Alligator mississippiensis: one gene and its partner. The protein of the gene in region 1 interacts with the protein of each later gene in a pairwise test. Links are inferred from orthologs where the notes say so. Each region holds a gene or a part of one and is shown on either strand. Other genes may lie near its edges. The genes, in order: KCTD6 and GRB7.

Region 1 (8,580 bases):
GATGATCGTTCTGAGCCTACAGAACCAGACGGAGTCAGACGCCCAAGGATCCGTCTCGTAGCATGTCTCATGCTTTGAGAGAAACATAGCAAATACGCCTCAAATCTCTTTGCAGAAAATTAAAGGTCATTTAAAGTCAACTTTTGCTTCAGCTGTAGGGAGCCATGAAGACAATACTGTAGCCTCAGCTTGCAAAAGACACATCTGTCAGACAAAATGTTGACTGTGTAGAGGGGGTACCTGGGCACTGGAGGCAGCCCACAGCTATAACCACCCACATCACACCCAGAAAGGCAGGTGAGAGAAGAAATACAGATCCCACTCGGTCACTGAGTCATGGCCAGGGCTGAGGGCCTGCCAGATGTATCCAAAGAGAGGAGAATGCTTAGAGGAAAAAAGGAAAGAGCAATAATAAGATGAGCGAGTCTGGCCTAGTTTCAGAAATGCAGTTTAAGAGGCAAGAATAGTTTTTCCCCAAATAAAATGGCATCAAAATACGTAAAGGAACATGGAAGATTTTGCTTTTTCCAGGACCCTGTACATCAAGGAGGTTGCTTTCCAACACTTCCTAGCCCATCATTGTGGCCCGATCTTTTTAAGAGAATTGTAAGTGTTGTCTTAAGTCAGCCTACGTGCCCCGAGTGGCCTGGGCAGCATCCATGTGTGGCGTGTGGCAGATAGGGCAGACAGAGAGGCAGGCAGGAAGCAGAAAGCAAAGCAGCAGATCAGGCAGGGAGCACAAGGAAGGGAACAGAAAGCAGAGCAGCTGACTGGCCAGGGAACAGGATCAGTGCGGCACTTGGGGAAGTAGTGGGGCTAGTTTGTAGCACAGCTGCCAAAAAGGCTGACCCCACTGTTTTATGTAATCCCTGCACTGTCTGGAGATTAACAACGTGAAAGGCCCCACAGCCATACTGAAATGAAACACCTAAAGACAATGTAAGTAAATTGTTTTTAATAAGATTTTTCTTCCCATAGTTTCTTCTCTGGGTCTATACAAAGCCAAGAGACTGGAGGGGATCCTTACATTAAAATCTGGAAAGCCCAAGTCTCTCTCAGCATGCACACACATCTGTACTGGCTCACTTACCATATATCCCCAGTCTCCATTATCCATCTGTTCTGTTGCTTGATCTGTGGGAGTCCAAGTTTAACAGAAGGTTGCTGAAGGGATATACAATTCACGTCTATTCCCCCTGCAGACAAACAGATAGATAAAACAAATAAATAGAGAGATCTGTCAGATTATAAGCATTGCTGGTCTTTAAGTGCTTCTACTCAAAGACAGGCTGGGTCTTGCTGTCACCTATTCAGGCAGCATAGCAGCAACACCCACAAATGAGGACTTCCCTATACTGATCTTCCAGCATCCTTTCCATTGCCTGAAGACAGGCCCTATCTAGAGAGAGCAGTGCCTTCACAAGCTGTCCTCAGTATTCCAGATTTGTTAAATAGCCTGCATGGCATTTCTGAAGTTTTATACTCGCACACCAGCTACAATTCATCTGAGTGGGGGACATCTATCTTAAAAAGTAACCCCATTTACATAAGCCAAATGCTTGATTTATTCATCTCATGTCTGAAGGTCCATCTCAGTAGATGTGGAGACCTGTGTGCTAGCTTTATGAGTCAATAATTCTGTATCTCAGCAGCAGCAGGAACTCAGAAGTCACTTGGGGGGAGCAGGAGGGAAGTAAAAGAAAACTTCCTATAGGTAGTCAGGAACATTCACCTTCAGGGCAAGGTCCCATTAAAGCCTGCCATCCTGCCACTGCTGGAAGGATGGATGAAATGCTGTGACTTGGGTTGGTGGCAGACCAGGCTAGGCAGTAGCAGAGGTCTCCTCTGGCTTAAACTCTAGGACTTACAAACAGTTTGGTACAGAAAGGATCTTGTGGGAGCTTTGGGAAACAAATTAACCCAGGCACGTGTTACCCAGCAAGTAAAGTCACAGCGCTTGAGCCGAGGCAGAGCTCTGCACCACTCAGTGACTACAGAAGTAGCGTTCAATTTCTGACCCAAACAGCCTGCTCTCCTGTAGCCGTCACAGGCCCGTGTCCCCACTTGAGAAGAGCATGGCAAGAGCGAAGTGCTTTCTGCTCAGAGAAGGTCTGGACTGCAACGGCAGAGCGTGAGAGCTCTCCCCAAAGGCCAGCTGCACGTGGAGAGCAGAGGCATACACAAGGCAGGCATCGCATGTCCCCAGCCACAGGAGAATCCCGTGTCCAACCCTACACCTTTTCCCAAGCACTAAAACGCAAATAAGTTAAACACAATATCGGCAGCGTGGATGAGTCATGCTGGACAAGGCAAAGGGGAGGCTTGCCTCAGCACAGCACAAACGACTGCCGACCGAGGGAGAGATACGAACTCAGAGCGTCGGCTCTTCCGCGCAGGCGAGAAGAACCAGCCATCGGGGCAACGAGCCTGCAGAGCTGTTCTGTGCTTCCCAGCTCAACGGCAACTTACTCCCCCCGCTAGCGTTAGCCTGGAGGCGCAGACCCTGGGTTTCTCCTTTAGACAGGGACTGCTCTGTTCCAGCGCAAGGTGCGAGAGGACACTTCGCATCAGGCCGCGGCACTTCTTCAGGAAAAGGGCAAGGAGGGCCTCTGACAAAGTCCCCACAGTAAGGAGAGGAGGGGGAAGCAGACCTGGGAAAACAGTGCGACTTACACGCGTATAATCAATGACGTCTCAATAAATGCTCAATGGCACCAACTCTAAACAGGGAAGAAACATAAAGAGGTCTGCACCCATCTACTGAAAAGATTTTCTCTGACAAACATCTGTGTGACAGGAGAGAGGCCATCTCCAAAGCCCCTGGGACGGATCCATCCCGCCACGGCACCGCTTGGGCGATCACAAAGAAAACGGAGCAGATACATCTTGCTGCCCGAAGCTACCCTTGGGCGACAGCGCCGCCACCGTAACACCGAGCAAATAATTTATAGGAGCAATTAGCTCAGGCAAGCCCGTGTTTTGATAAATACATCAATAAATAAAGCAAGCATCTAGATGCGTCATTGATTTTGTGTCGGAGTCTGCGGGGAAGCCGGTTTGGGAGCCTCTGCCCGGCTAGCCGGGCTCGTGGGGCCGCCCGTGTAGGGGTGACCTCTTTCATCCGACCCACGAGGGTTTTGCAAAAAAATAAAAATAAATAAAACTGTCTTGGGCAGGAACACCCTTCGGCGGCCCCGCGAGCTAAGGAGCACGCGCATCCGCTCGGGGCAAAATCCTAACCGCCGGCGCGAGCGCCACCGAACGCCCGCCCGCCCGCTACCTCTTCATCCCGTCACGGCGGGCGGGGAATGGGCTCGTGGAGGCTGCAGAAGGGAAGACTGAGGGGATGACAGCGGGCGAGGGGCGCGGGGCAGGGCCACTCCCCTCAGGCGGGCGCGGGGCCGCACTCACCGCGCCGCTGCACTATGTCCCTCGCCGCGTACCGTCCCGACCCAGAGCGGATGTGACGTAGCACGCCACCGCCGCCGCTTCTCGCGAGACGCCGCCGCGGCGCCCCGTTGCCAGGCAGCGAGGGGGCGGGGCCGGGCGCCCATTGGGCGGTGCGGGCGTGACGCCACGCCCTGCCGCTGGAGGGCACATCCAAGATGGCGGCGGCACTGAGGGGGCTGGCGCGGGCCGGGTTGCACCGCTTGCCGGGCCCGCTGCGCCGGGGGATCCGCGCCTCGGCGCCCGCCGCCGTGCAGGTACCGGGCCGGGGCCGGGGCCGGGGCCGGGGGGAGCCGGCCGGCGGGCCCGGCGTGAGCGCGCTGTGCGCCGCAGGTGACGGTCCGCGACGCGCTGAACCAGGCGCTGGACGAGGAGCTGGAGCGCGACGAGCGCGTCTTCCTGCTGGGCGAGGAGGTGGCGCAGTACGACGGCGCCTACAAGGTGAGCGGGGCCGGGCCGGGCCGGGCCGGGCGGGCGGGGGGGCGGGGGGCCGCGGGCCCGCCTCACGCTCTGCCTGCGCCCGCAGATCAGCCGCGGCCTGTGGAAGAAGTACGGCGACAAGCGCATCATCGACACCCCCATCTCCGAGGTACCCCCGCCCCGCCCCGCCCCCCCACGCCCCCCTGCCCCTACCCCTGCCCCGCGCTCACCCCTCTGCCTTCCCTCCCTTGCAGATGGGCTTCACCGGCATCGCCGTGGGAGCCGCCATGGTGGGTGCCCAGCGCTGCGCACAAGGAGCCGGTTCGGAAACGGGCCGGCGTGGGGGGGGGCGCACCGCCCGCTCCGTGCGCCGCAGCCCCGCGGGAAGGGGGAGCGGGGTTAACCCCCCCAGGGCACGGGGGGCGCCAGGAGGCCGGACGAGGCTTCGTGACTGGCCCGTGTCCTTGTTTAACAGGCTGGGCTGAGGCCAATTTGCGAATTCATGACCTTCAACTTCTCCATGCAAGCCATCGACCAGGTGATCAACTCCGCTGCCAAGACCTATTACATGTCTTCCGGCATGGTCTCGGTCCCGGTGGTGTTCAGGGGCCCCAACGGCACCTCGGCCGGTGTCGGCGCGCAGCACTCGCAGTGCTTCGCCGCCTGGTACGGGCACTGCCCTGGGCTGAAGGTGGTCAGCCCATGGAGCTCCGAAGACGCGAGAGGTCTGCTCAAGTCGGCCATCCGGGACGACAATCCAGGTAATTACCAGCAGGAAGTCCCGCTGTACTCGAATAACTAGTCTCGGCGCGCCCTCCGCTTCCCTTCTCCACCTTGACCCCGCGAAGAACGCGCTTAAAGCGTGGGACTCAAATCGTGAAGGTAATCCTGGAGACCTTTTCTCCTGACCGCGACCTCTTCTTCAAAACCAAAGTTAAACTAGAACAGCATTTCCCAACCTTTTCCTCCCCCTGGCATTTCCCAATAAAGAAGCACCACGGCGCAGGGGGTGGCGTGTGGCCAGCCGGATGCTGACAGCGGGGTGGCGCACGGCCGGCCCAGCAGCGTTTTGGGCTGGAGTCATGCTCCTCGTCTGTCTGTGTCCACCCACAGCAGCAGCAGGCAGGGGCTTGGCTCCATCCCAGCACGCTGCGGCACTGGTTGGGAAACGCTGAACTAGAATATGGGCACCCCCCCGACGGTCAGCTTGTGCACTGCTGTCCTAGGAAAAGGATGACAAGCATAGCCCTGGCCCTTTAGACCCAGTCCTGTAGCCGTCACTTGCGTGTCTGTGGAACAGATGTGGAAGCCGTCTGGGAGCAAGTTCTGGGTTTCTGATTACCCCCCAAATGTTGCATCTCCAAATGCTTAGTGTGAAATCACCCTCTGGCTGTGGGATCAGTCAAAGAAGCCATTTCAAAATTGTGCAGTGCTACAAGTTAATAGCTACTTAAGTGAAGCTTCGAGTCCTCTGGGCTTGTCTAAGCGTGCTGCTGCGTTATGCTTGTCCTCCTGTAATTGAGCCGAGAGGAGGAGTCCACCATCGTGGGCCCTGACAGTCTTGGAAAATGTTGTGTGGCACCTGGATTGGGGGACCTCCAGACTAACCCAAGTGACCACTCTAATGATCTTTAGTTGTGATGCTGGAACATGAACTGATGTATGGAGTTCCCTTTGAGATGTCGGAGGAAACGCAATCAAAGGACTTCTTGGTTCCTATTGGCAAAGCCAAAATAGAGAGGCCGGGTAAGTTCAGAATACCACTATTCTGTATATTCTCACTTGTAAAAGTTCTCTTTCCTTGCTAGACCAATTGAACTCATTAAGTGCTTTCCTTTATAAAGTACTTCCTTCTTGCAAAACAGGGAACTATTCAGAAGGACACTACTAAGACTTCTGGTCATTTGGATTTTACCAGCTATTTGTTTTTAGCACTTATTACTCACAGACAAAGTAATTTAGGGCAGGGCCATCTTGACCCACAATTAAAACACTTTCTAGTGGCCAGCTAGGCCTGGTGCAGTTGGACTGTCTGAAACGAGTGAAAAGAAAACAACACCCACAACCAGAGCTTAGATTCTTTGCTCAGCATATCAAGAAAGGTCACTAATGTGCAGCATTTCAAACCTCTTGTCAGTTGTGTATAACTTCGCTGTAGAAGCATGCAAGCAACTTGTTATTCGTGGCATAGCAAGTTGATCCCATCCATTCTGCCAATACACAGAGCACAAGAACGATGCTCTTAAGTAGTCGAACTCAGGAAGAGTTCCAGTAACAGACTTCTCAGGCTAGTCCTGACATGCAAGTCAGATGCTGAGTACGCTAGACTTTAGCTAGGTCAAAAAGGTGAGGTCTTACACTTAACTTTTCAGAGATGTTTAGTGTTGAGCTGCTTGACAGGAAGATCTGTCTTGATCCACCACCAGCTTCTGTGTTTCAGGAAAGCACGTTACGTTAGTGTCGCACTCGAGGCCTGTTGGACACTGTCTGGAAGCAGCTGCTGTCCTTGCCAAAGAAGGGGTGGAGTGTGAGGTATGTCCCACTCACTCAGTGGTATTTCAGGCCAGGATGAAAAACATCTTTCGTTTAAATTGGATTCATTCTCAACTGCTTTGATTCCTGAGCTAAAGAGGGATTCAGCCATGCTTGTGCTTTGCCAGCAAGGTGGAAGTTTGCATTTGAGATTGCAAAACACTGTCACACTTGGTAGGATTCCACACTGTTTTACTGATGCAGACACTAAATTCATAGCTTAAAATTTGTGTTCAATACATTTGAGCCCTTAATTATTTTATCTGCTGAGCCTTTGGCACTGGCTCCAAAGCTAAATGGATATATTGCTTGTGTGGGCACACTTAGTTACCCACAGACAGCAAGCAAGGGGAACATAAGAGTCTTGTTTACTGTGCGGGGAAGCTTCATAGAGAAACATGCAAGTGTGCAAGTAGCCTTGCACTCCCCTATAAAAGCAAGGGCAGTGAGTTGAGCCAGGGTAAGCCGGTTTGCTACAAATCGTGTGGCTACAAGTAACTACTGGGTTGATGCCAGTAGAGGCATCCCCTCTGGAGATGAGATGAGGAGTGCATCCTACAACTGTGGAGGTAGCTGAGGTAAAGACAGCGGAGCAGAAGGCATAGGAGACACTCCTGGTTCTGGGGGAGGAGAGTAAGACTGCCTAAAACAAGAATACAAAGTACTCATGAAGTGAAAGACTCTGCTCCAGTAAGCAAGGGAGGGGGCTAGGCTTAAAGAACCTAGTACCAAATCGCTTGCCACTCTCTCTTCCAGGTGATAAATCTCCGCACCATTCGCCCAATGGATGTTGAAACTATAGAAGCCAGCATTATGAAGACAAATAACCTTGTAACAGTGGAAGGAGGTTGGCCACAGTTTGGAGTAGGAGCCGAAATATGTGCCAGAATCATGGAAGGTATCTTTTGCTCAGCTCCTGTAACTTGTATGTATCTGTACTGTGTCGCTGGCCTCTAATCTATTGCCTTCCAGCCAAGCCTGGCAAGTACGAGAGGAAAGTACAAAGCCTGTTTTGCTGACACAGTAGATGCTAAGTCAGAAAAGTGTGTTAACTTCTGAAGTAACAGCCCCAGTCCCTTGTTCTACCACACTTATCACCTCTCTGAGGCATGGAGCTTCAAGCAGCTCCTGGGAAGCTGAGCACGTAAGGGCCACTGGATCACTTTGCTCGAGCATTCCCTCTTAAATGTGTGCTGAATGAAGGGACCAAACAGCAAAAAATCTGGTTTCAGTTAACCAAGGAAAGCTGCAGGGGTGGGTTTGCAGTGCAGTTCTGTAAGACCCCAAATACCCAGAACAGGCCAATTTTGTCAAACTGCAGGTACATCAAGGAACAACAGCTAGCTCTGCATGGCTTAAGATGCCTTTCTTTGTTCCAGGACCTGCCTTCAATTACTTGGATGCTCCAGCTGTGCGTGTCACAGGGGCCGACGTTCCTATGCCTTATGCAAAGATCTTGGAAGAGAACTGCATACCTCAAGTGAAGGATATCATCTTTGCAGTGAAGAAAACACTAAATATCTAGACTGTTACAAACATGTTCTTCTAAAATGTCTTAGTTTAAAACATATGGAGTGTACTGCCTTGTATAGCTTCATGAACCTTTCTGTACAGAAAGAAAAGGTTAAATAACACTTTAAAAATTATTTATATGGCTAATTGTGTAATAAGCCAGCCTTTCAGTCACCCTTCAACTCTAAGCAGCTCTGTGGGGAAGTATATAGCTATGTTTGTGCCAGTCTCATGCTGTAAGTTTGAATCTGTACCCTCTCTGAGAGTTGACGGTACCAGTGAACGGACTGTTCTATTGCTGTCAGAGAAAGAGTCTCATTCTAAATGGTCTTAATTTAGTATGAGAAATAAACGACTACCCAGCCGTGCTGTCTGTCTACTACTTACAACGGGTCAAATGAGTGGTTTGAAAATGAAAGAACTGCCTAAGGGCTGCTACAGGGCAGTGGAGCTGGACGCTGCAGGTTTAGACTGGCTCTACAGCTGCCTTTTATCACAACTCAGACATCAGTCTGCACTTGCACGGGCCTTTTTTGCACCTGCTACTTAATTAGAGCTGTAAGACTAGGGTGCATATTTCTAGAAATAGGTGTGGTGATGGAGCCATTACCACAGAAAGTATGCGTGCTGGGCTTGCACTTCTGGACTTTCTGTTCACGCTTTGAGGCT
Region 2 (8,847 bases), on another chromosome or scaffold:
TAATCACATTGTCACACTACTGGCCCTGAACTGGGAACAGAACCCAGGAGTCCTGGCTTAGAGCCCACCCACCCTTGTTCTAACCACTACACATCGTTACCATCCTAGAGATGGAAAGAACCCAGGAGCCCTGGCTGTTAGCCCTCTGCTGCGATAGAACTCAGAGCATACTGCCTAGTGCAATGTCTCAGGGGTGTCTGTAGCAGCAGCGCTCCCTTAGCACAGGTATTTGGGGACTGGGAGCTGGGGTAGGAAGAGGTCCCCTTGGTAGCCGAGGCCTGGTATAGCCATGTGGGGAAAGGGGGAGGGAGGAGGCAGTGCAGCTGTGGCTACGAAGCCTGCAGTGAGTGTTGGGCCTTTTTCCTCTCCATGAACAGCCTCTTCTCCCCTGTATCCATGTGTTGCAATTACACAGGCTGCTGGCTGAGGGGCAGCATTCCAGCTCCATTGCACTCCCACTGTGCCTTCAGAGAGAGGTCCCCAGTGGTAGAAGCTGGACTTCCCTGTGCAAGACCCCTATCTAGGGGCTAGCAGGGGGTGCCTGAAGCCCTCCGGGCCCCATCAGAGCCAGGCTTGCAACATGCAATGTTTAATCAGAACGCTTCCCGACGGCACCGCACAGTGAGTTGATTTGATTCTCCATCCCCAACTCCCATTAGTTCTCCTTCCCTGTGCAACACAGCTAGCTGGACAAAATGCTCCAGGTTGGAGACAAGGAAGCCTGAGAGAGGACTCAGTGCAGCTCTGGGATGCAGGAAATGGCTGGGGAGACTAAGCTGGGACACAGCTATGGTGGGAGCCCTGGGAAAAACCTGGGAGAGACTCTGGAATCAATAACAGGGGTGGATGGGGAGCAATGGATAGATATTATTATTAGGCCCATAAAAGACTCCATGGGTCCCTGTGAGTTCTGGCCCCAGGTACCCTCGTCCCCTCCCTCTCCCCCTCAGAGCATGGACTGCCACTGAGGGATGGTGTTTGGCACCCTCTGGAGAAATCACTTAGCAACAGTCAGCATGTGTCCAGCTGGGAGTGGAGCAACCCCTCCTCACAGCCCTGGGATCTGGTCACGAGGGCCAGGGCCAGGTGCCAGCCACAGGGGCAGCTTCCAGCACATGCCAGGAGAGCTCAGCCCTGGGGACAGGGCCTGGGGCTGGGGCTGGGGCTGGGGAGGAGAAGGGCCCTTGTGGAGGAGGCCACAAGGAGAGGAGAAGGGCCTGTGTGGACCCCATGTGCTGCTGCAGGTGGTAGTGTCATGAGGGGAAACCTCTTCCCAAAGCCCAATGAGATCCTGCTTGGAGCTGGGATGGGCAAGGATTATCAACCTCCCACCCTAGAGGGAAAAGCACCCAGCTGGTCTACTGGTCCTTGTGTGAGGGTGGATGTCCCTCAGCCTGAAGCAGTCACTGCTGGAATGCCCCATTTTCCTGTTGTTATAAACCCCTCCTAACCCCACTGGTGCCATTCTCTGCTAAGTGTCCAGCCCCAGGGAGGGAGAGGAAGACAGCTCCCCAGCCAGGGGCTGGATCCAGCTGTGTCCCACCCGTGGTTGGGTGGCATAAGGAGGGGCAGGAGACACAGCCCTGCTATATTTAAACCTAGCCCCGGGGAATGGGCCAGAGGGGATGTGGCCTGTGAAGATTGCTTCTTCACTGTCAGTTCCCTTTCTGGCTGGTCAGACCCATCTGGGGCTCTCACTGGTAGCCTGGGTGTGATGAGTTTGGCAAGTCTCATTCCAGATCTCAGCACCCAAGGCCCAGATTTCCAAAGAGATTTAGGCATCAAACTCCCACTGACATCTGATGAAAATGATGGGAGTAGTGTACTTTGGGACCCTCAGAGGACCTGAGCCAAGGGGCCATGTACAAAAGCCCCCCCCCCCGCTGACAGCATCATGCCCCCTTGCAGACAAGTATCAGTCCCCACCCGTGACCACTTAGAAGGTCCCTCCATAGCAGGACAGAGCCACAGTGATGGTTGGGGGTGGTCACTCTGCTGCTGTCAGTCACACTCTCACCAGGGGCAAGAGGCTTTGGGGTTCCCTTCCCCCCACCCCAGCTCAGCCCCTGCACAGTAGGCCCATGGATCATGAACCCCCTGCCATGTATCTCCCCTAAAGGGTACTGTCATGCCAGGTATCACACCAGTCCCGGTCCTGCCATAAGGAGCTAGCAAAAGGCAGATGGGGAAATTGAAGCCCAAAAAGGGGTTGTGATTTTCCTTGAGGCAGTACCAGACCCAGTACCAGCTTCTGGCTCCCAGTCCAGGTACCTCTGCACTGGACCACATGCTGCCCCTTCCTGAGCACATAAGGAGCCAGTGGTAGGCACAACTGGTTGCCTGCAGTGGGCACAAGGGTGGCAGACACTCCCCATAAAGTCTGTCCGGGGACAGAAGCCTGTGAGCCTGGGGCAGGGCTGTCACACCAAGTCTGGGTACTGAAGTGGGTGGGCCTGAACTTGTACCCAGAGCCCCCACCCTGAGGTCCACCCCCAGCTCTGCCACCATGAAACCTCATCAGCTTAGCCCTGCCTCTTTCTGTGCCTCAGTTCCCCCATGTGTGGGGCTGAGGGGGCTGTATCCCCACAGATCTCTCTTCCCTGGTGAGGGTCCATGACACAGAGGTGGGGATGTGAGCAAGCTTCTTACCTTTGCCCTGGTTCTGGGCGGTGAGGCGGTGAGGTCTCCCATGGATCCACTCCCGAAGTCTGCGCCCAGAGGTCCCCAACTCTGTGTTCTCCTGCAGCAGGTGACAGGAGGGAGGAGTTAGTCCCACTTCCCCCCTGGAGGCTGGGAGACCCCCATTCCACCAGTGGGGAGAAACCCCTGAGTAGGGACAACAGCAACACAAGCTCCCCCAGCCCTGGGTCCAGGGCAGCTCAGGCTCGGCTCCCCCTTCATCTTGCTGCCAGCCACAGGAATAGCTAGTACGCCAGCTGCAAAGGTGCTGTGGGAACCATGCAAGACCCCTCCCTCCCCACCTCAACACACATCAAGCCATCCACTGGGGCTGTCCATGCAGATGCTCACACAGCGCCCACCATCGTGGCATCCAGGCACGTGTTCTCACCATAGTCACTGCACTGCAGTCCCCAAGACCCTTATAGCAAAAGCACCTGGATCTCACTCACACACACACCCCCCCCCCCTCAGTGTTGGCCACAACACTCCCCTCCTTGCCCCTTACATGGCCAGTCCTGACACCAGGATTTCCCCTACCAGGTTCTAGGGAGGATTCCTGATCCCCACCTCCCCCACCACACACACACTTCCACAAGAAGAAAGAGTAATAAAGGGTGAGAGGAACAAGGCTCCCCCATCCCCCAGCATCTTCAGGGCATAGAGTCCAGGAGCTGCCCTACCTCGCCCATGGCGCCCGTGGCTTCTTGCATCCCCTGTCTGCCTCTTCTAGTCTGTCCCCAGCAGTTATCACCATGTCTGTTCCAAACCACCAGCCCCAGCAGGGAGCCTTATCTGGGCTGTGGCTTTGCTGTAATTTCCCAGCTATAGCTCGCTGCTGCTGCTGGCTGCATGCAGGAGGGAATAGAGATGGCAGCACTGTGTAGGCACAGCAGGGCACCCCACAGGCTTGAGATAGGTTCCTGTTTCTGCAGGGCTCTGGAGAAGTGGGCAGTGCCTTTCTCAAGAGTGGCACACCACCTCCTCAATCCACCTGGGACCATACCTTGGCGCTCACAGTCACTGAATTCAGCCTTAAAACCAGCCAGTGATGACAACTGAGGAAACCTGAGGCATGGGCAAGGTAAGTGATGTGTCTTTGGTCATGCAGTGAATCAGTAGCAGAGCAGAAGAAGGAACTCAGGAGCCCTGCCAGCCAGACCTGTGCTCTCACCTTCTTATCAATGGTCACTGAACCCATGAATCCTGCCTTTTAATTGCCTGCTCTAGCCACTCAGTGATCCTGCCTCCCTGAGAAAGTATGAGGACCCAGTCAATAGGACTCTCCTCACCCCCAGTCACCTACTGTTACTAGATTAAACTCCATCCCCAACATGCCCATGCTAAGCAAACAAGAGCAGTAAGACCAGCCTTTGCTACATTGAGTTTTCAACAAGGGGTCAGTTCAACTCGCTGACATTCTCCTTCTGGCAAGCCTCCCCCTCTCCAGAATTGTTTTCCTGGCATATATCACAGGCTGGAGCTTCACCCTGAGAATTCATATGCTGCTTTTCTCCAAGAAGGACTGCAGAGTGCTAGGGAGATGGGGTGGAAAGTACTAGCAGATGCCACCCTGTGGCATGGGGAGAGGAGGTCCTGGCTAAGGTTGCATGTGCCAACCCCTCTGGATGATTGAAAGATACAAGTGATGTCAGGCTAGTACAGAGCAGGGGTTGTAAGCTTGTCCCCCCAAAATCCAAGTGCAGAGTGAGGGTCTGGGCCTTGGTACATCTGCCACAGATGGGTTGAGCTCACCTAGAGGAGGGTGTGGTGGGGATTTGAGCTTCTGATGCTGGAGGGTGACAATACAGAATGGTCCCCATGGAGGGAAGCCAGCTGTAGCCACTGCACCAGGCAGAGATGCAAGGTGCCTTCTCTACCAAGGACACAGCCCTCAACTCCCAGCAGAGCTGCATCTCAACGCATGCTGAAAGGGAAGAGTGGGTGTCATTCCCACAAGACAGGAAGGGACACAGGGCTCCTATGACTTGCCCAAAGGAAAGCAGGGATCCAGTGTCGAGAATAAGACCCAGGACTGGTGGAGTGATAAGGAATCCCCACAACATCTGGAGTGGGGAGGCCATCCCTGATGGATAGGAGCTGTGCCTCCACCCCGGCCCCTTTCCTTCCCACCATCCCACAGTGTGAAACAGTCCCAGCCTCACAGTTAACCCCACCTGGACTCTGAGAGCCCTGGGTTTCCCTGGGATCTTGTGTCTTGCCAGCCGAGCAGGAACAGTCAGCCCTGCCTGTTCCCAGCATCTAAAGGAAAGAAAAATCCTTCGTAGCTGTACAATTACAGCTTTGGCTAGACTGCCAGGGCCTCTGTGAGGCTGCCACCTCCCTTCCTGCACAGCCTCACGCCCCAGCTTATATTATGTTTCTAAGAACATAAAGCTGCTTCCAGGAACCCTTTGGACAGCAGCAGCACTTCCAGGAGCCTGCCCAAGGCAGCCAGCCCTGAAATGCCTCTGCCATGACCCACCCAACTGCACGGGGAGCTGGTTTCCCGAGGGCTGGGAGCAGCCTGTGGCAGCAGGGAGCTTCTGGAAGGCAGACTGTGCTGCACGCTGTCTTCTCAGCCTCTCCATGCCCCCGTGCCACCTGTGGGGAACACAACCCCATATGTACCAGCAACTCCACCCAGGCAGAGTGCAGCATTCCTCTCCTTACCAGAAACCTCCTAAGCAGGCCTGGCATTCGTGGGAGGGTCTGTGGGCTTCCCTCATGCCCAGGCTGTGGGCCAGCCATAGCCCTCCTACACTACTGACTCAGAGGGGCCTGGCTGTGGGAACAGCCTGCTGGGGGGATGGGGCTGGCATAGTGAATGTGGGCTTGGTGGCAGTAGCCTGGATGGTGCTGCACGTGGGACCTGGGTGTGGAAGAAGGTCTCTTCTTGTAGCTCAAGGGGTGTGCAGGATAGGTCAGAGGCCATGGAGTGAGGCACAGGGGAGGTAGGTAGCATCAGCCTGATACAGCCGTGCAGTCACCTGGCAGTGAGGGGTGACTGCCTGGGCTGCCAGCCTCAGGCCAGCCACTGACCAGCTGCATAATCCTAAAGTGCTGGGTGCAGCTGTCCATCTTGGCTCCCACGCACCAATTAGGAGCCATGCTGACCAAGATCAATAAATCAGCAGCAGTGGGAGGCATCAGGGGCCCCTCTCTCCCTCACCTTGAGCCATGCCAAGTTGGAGCACAGCCCTGCCAGAGTCTTACTGCCTTCAGCTCCAGCCTGGCCTTTCCTCTGCCCTGCTGTCATGGCCCTTCTTGGCCCTGTGCAGAACTGCTGCCCCGCAGTGTCCCCTCGAAGCAGGAAAGTCCCAGTCCTGAACTCTGGCAAAGTCCCTCCCTGCCCAATTCAGAACCACTGGCAGTCCCCTTCTCGCCCTCTCCCACTCCAACTCCTGCAGAGCCAGGCTAAAGTGAAGTGGACACTCCAGCTTGGAGCCCCGGTGTCAGTGTACCCCATAGCAGCCAAGCCTGTCTCCTCTGCCCCCTGCACACAGCTGGTGAGCATGACAGTCCACCTGCCCTTGTCTGCTTGCATCCACACACGTACGCACACATGCACAGGGACAATGTGAAGAAGCAGCCACACCTGCCCAAAATCTGTCCTGAGCAGGCAGAGGAGAAAGGCCAAGGGAAACCGTTCTTCCCATGGGAACCAGCTTGGTCTTCCTAATGAATTATTTCTAATGAGGCTGACCCATGCACTGCTGTAATGCACCACTGAGTGAGGCAGCTAGAGCTAGCAGCCCAGGACAGACCAGAACACAGGCCCTTCTCAGCAGTGCGAGAAGGAGCTGAGAAGAAGGGCTGGGGAGGAAGGCAAGGAGAAGGGCTGAGGTTGTGCCTGGCTCCCATAGGCCTGAGCCCTGTTGGCTTAGAAAGGAGCCCCTGGGGGCTGGGCAGCAGGTGCTACCCAAGCCCCCAGCAGTAGAAAGAGGAGGCAGGAGCCAAAGGAGCTTTGATTCAAAAAAGGGTGACAGCTCCTCATGTGCTGGGACCAAGGCCTGGTCCCTCTCACCAGCACCCCCTGGTGGCTGCTTGGCCATTCTCTGCACATACCCAGAGAGGTGGTACGTGGGTCACCTGTGCCACAGGAAGCACCTGTGCCATGAGGAGCCTGCTTCTGCTTGTGCAGGACTCAGGGGAAAGGGCACAGGCCAGGCAAATGTCAGGGCATGGGGACCTGTGGGTCCTAGGCTGTGGCTCAGCAGGCTCCTCCCTTTACCTTCTCTGGCTGGTAGATCTGTGGGGGCACACGTATCTACCCAGTCACATGCACATGCACAAGCCCGTCTCCCCCTGCCCCCTCAGATCCATGCCCATGTGCACTCAGAGTGCTTGCACACAACAGCATGCCTGGGCACCATCCTAAAGAAGGGGCCCTGGGTGCTGATGGGGCATGGTCCCCCTCCCCACTGGGCATCAGGCCATGCAGCTCCCCTGGCACTCATGCCACCCCTGGGGCGAAGGAATGGATGCATTACCTTGCAGCGGGAGGCTGTGCTGCGGCTCCTCTTCCGTTCAGGACACGTGGGTGATTTTCCCAGGGGGCCACGTTTCCGTAAGCAGGTGCAGCAAAACACTACCCCCACGGCCTTCTTCCAGGGAAAGCTCCGGCCCTCCTGCATGCCCTGATCCATGCCTGCCAGAGCCGGCCACTCAGAGTGGCCTCCACCGCTGAGCCCCTCGCTGTGCGCCCTCCCCCCCACACTGTTGCTGCCACTCTGAGGATAAATCCCAGGGTCCCCACCTCTGTTATGGCTTTGGCAGCAGCACCCCCTCCCCCGTCCCTCTTCCCTTCTTTAATTGGTGAGCGCCACCATTAACAAGGGCTGGTTACAGGGGCCCAAGCATTTACAGCCATCCCCACCGCCATCCGGCCAGCTTCAAGCCCCAGTTCTGAAATGACTCAGCTGGCAGCGCAGTGGGCAGCTCCCTCCCCGCCCCCTCTCCCCACCCTGGCCACGCTGCCTATACCCCTTGCAGCCCTGCTCACACACGTAGCAGCTGCCCTGGGAGCCCATGTATTTCACACTTGCATAAGATGACAGGGCTGGATGTTTCAAATAGTGACAAGTCCAGCTCTGTGAGGAGCAGGGCTGAGCCACCTCACCCCCGCCCCCCACATACATACCCCCCCACCTGGCTCACCCCCCAGGTTCCCCACCCAGTCCTGACCCACCTAGTGCTCTGAGTAAAGGGGGAGCCCACTTGCTGGGATCCCCGTGTGCTGGCATATAGAATGGCTCTTACCCCTGGACCCTGGGTGACGTCAGCTCCACCCAGTGCCAAGCCGTGTTCTGAGCTATTGCTGTCTGCCTGGGGAGGGAGGGAGCCAAGCAGGATGGAGGCACTCAGGTCTCCCTCGCTGGCAGGAAAACCTGCACCCAGCCATGGGTTGGAAGTGGCACATGGGCAGTAGAGGGCTCCACTCCCACCCCGATCTTCTCGGCCCCCTTGGGGTGGTGGGGAAGATGCCACTGAGGACTCAAGCAGGTGGGAAGTGGGGCTTCCAAGCAATCCAATGGTCTGATTGTTCCCTCCCATCCCAGCCAGCACCGAGAGGCCTCCTGGAAATTAAAACTGACAGCTGAAAGGTACTGCCAGAGAGCTCCCAGGGCATTGTGCAGCAGGGAAAGGGTTAATGGTGCCCCAATTTCCCAACCTGCTGGTGACAAACTTTTAACAAGGGGAGCTTGGCTTCCCTTCAAGCTGTTCCCTAGACCTCATCTGGGGGCTGAGTAGTGCTTTCTTTTATATCCAGGGCAGCTGCATTCCAGTCAGATCCTCCCCAACCCTGCCCTGCCCCTCCTTTTTGGGGGAAATGAGCCCTCCCCTCCCACCATCACAGCAGCCCTTTAAGGAAATAGTGGTGACCTGGCGGATTCTCAACTGCTTTGATGGGGCAAAGCCTGAGAAAGCCTGAAGTCCTTGCTTTGGCACGAGATATACCAACCCATAGTGCTGAACCCTGGCTACGATCCATTCATGGTCCAGCCCATTGGGGTCTCATGATGGGCTGGTCTCACCCTGGCAGTCACAAGCAAGGATGAAATGCCAAGGAAGCTCATAGCACAGCTCATCCCTTTGCCAGGACCCAGCCTGCCCTTCCTTGCCAGCGCTCTCTGCACCAGTGCGGCAGGGCAGGTGGACCCCACT

Evidence for each region.
Region 2: the proteins of KCTD6 (region 1) and GRB7 interact in binary tests that used the Homo sapiens proteins (3 or more experiments, as listed by UniProt). The two-hybrid records come from large-scale screens. The link is inferred for Alligator mississippiensis from reciprocal best matches to the Homo sapiens genes KCTD6 and GRB7.

Annotation. Positions count from the first base shown.
Region 1 is NC_081835.1:890,672-899,251, reverse strand, and holds the start of KCTD6 (BTB/POZ domain-containing protein KCTD6), read right to left. Parts: upstream 3,491-8,580; 5' UTR 3,412-3,490; intron 3,403-3,411; exon of another isoform or gene 3,281-3,402; intron 3,248-3,280; exon of another isoform or gene 2,674-3,247; intron 1,197-2,673; 5' UTR 1,118-1,196; coding exon 1,091-1,117; intron 1-1,090. Other genes in the region: PDHB (pyruvate dehydrogenase E1 component subunit beta, mitochondrial), read left to right, coding at 3,606-3,704, 3,781-3,888, 3,974-4,036, 4,122-4,157, 4,343-4,628, 5,503-5,613, 6,308-6,399, 7,156-7,297 and 1 more. UniProt on the Homo sapiens protein: Probable substrate-specific adapter of a BCR (BTB-CUL3-RBX1) E3 ubiquitin-protein ligase complex mediating the ubiquitination and subsequent proteasomal degradation of target proteins.
Region 2 is NC_081827.1:165,262,815-165,271,661, forward strand, and holds the start of GRB7 (growth factor receptor-bound protein 7), read right to left. Parts: upstream 3,458-8,847; 5' UTR 3,393-3,457; coding exon 3,363-3,392; intron 2,741-3,362; coding exon 2,650-2,740; intron 1-2,649. UniProt on the Homo sapiens protein: Adapter protein that interacts with the cytoplasmic domain of numerous receptor kinases and modulates down-stream signaling. Promotes activation of down-stream protein kinases, including STAT3, AKT1, MAPK1 and/or MAPK3. Promotes activation of HRAS.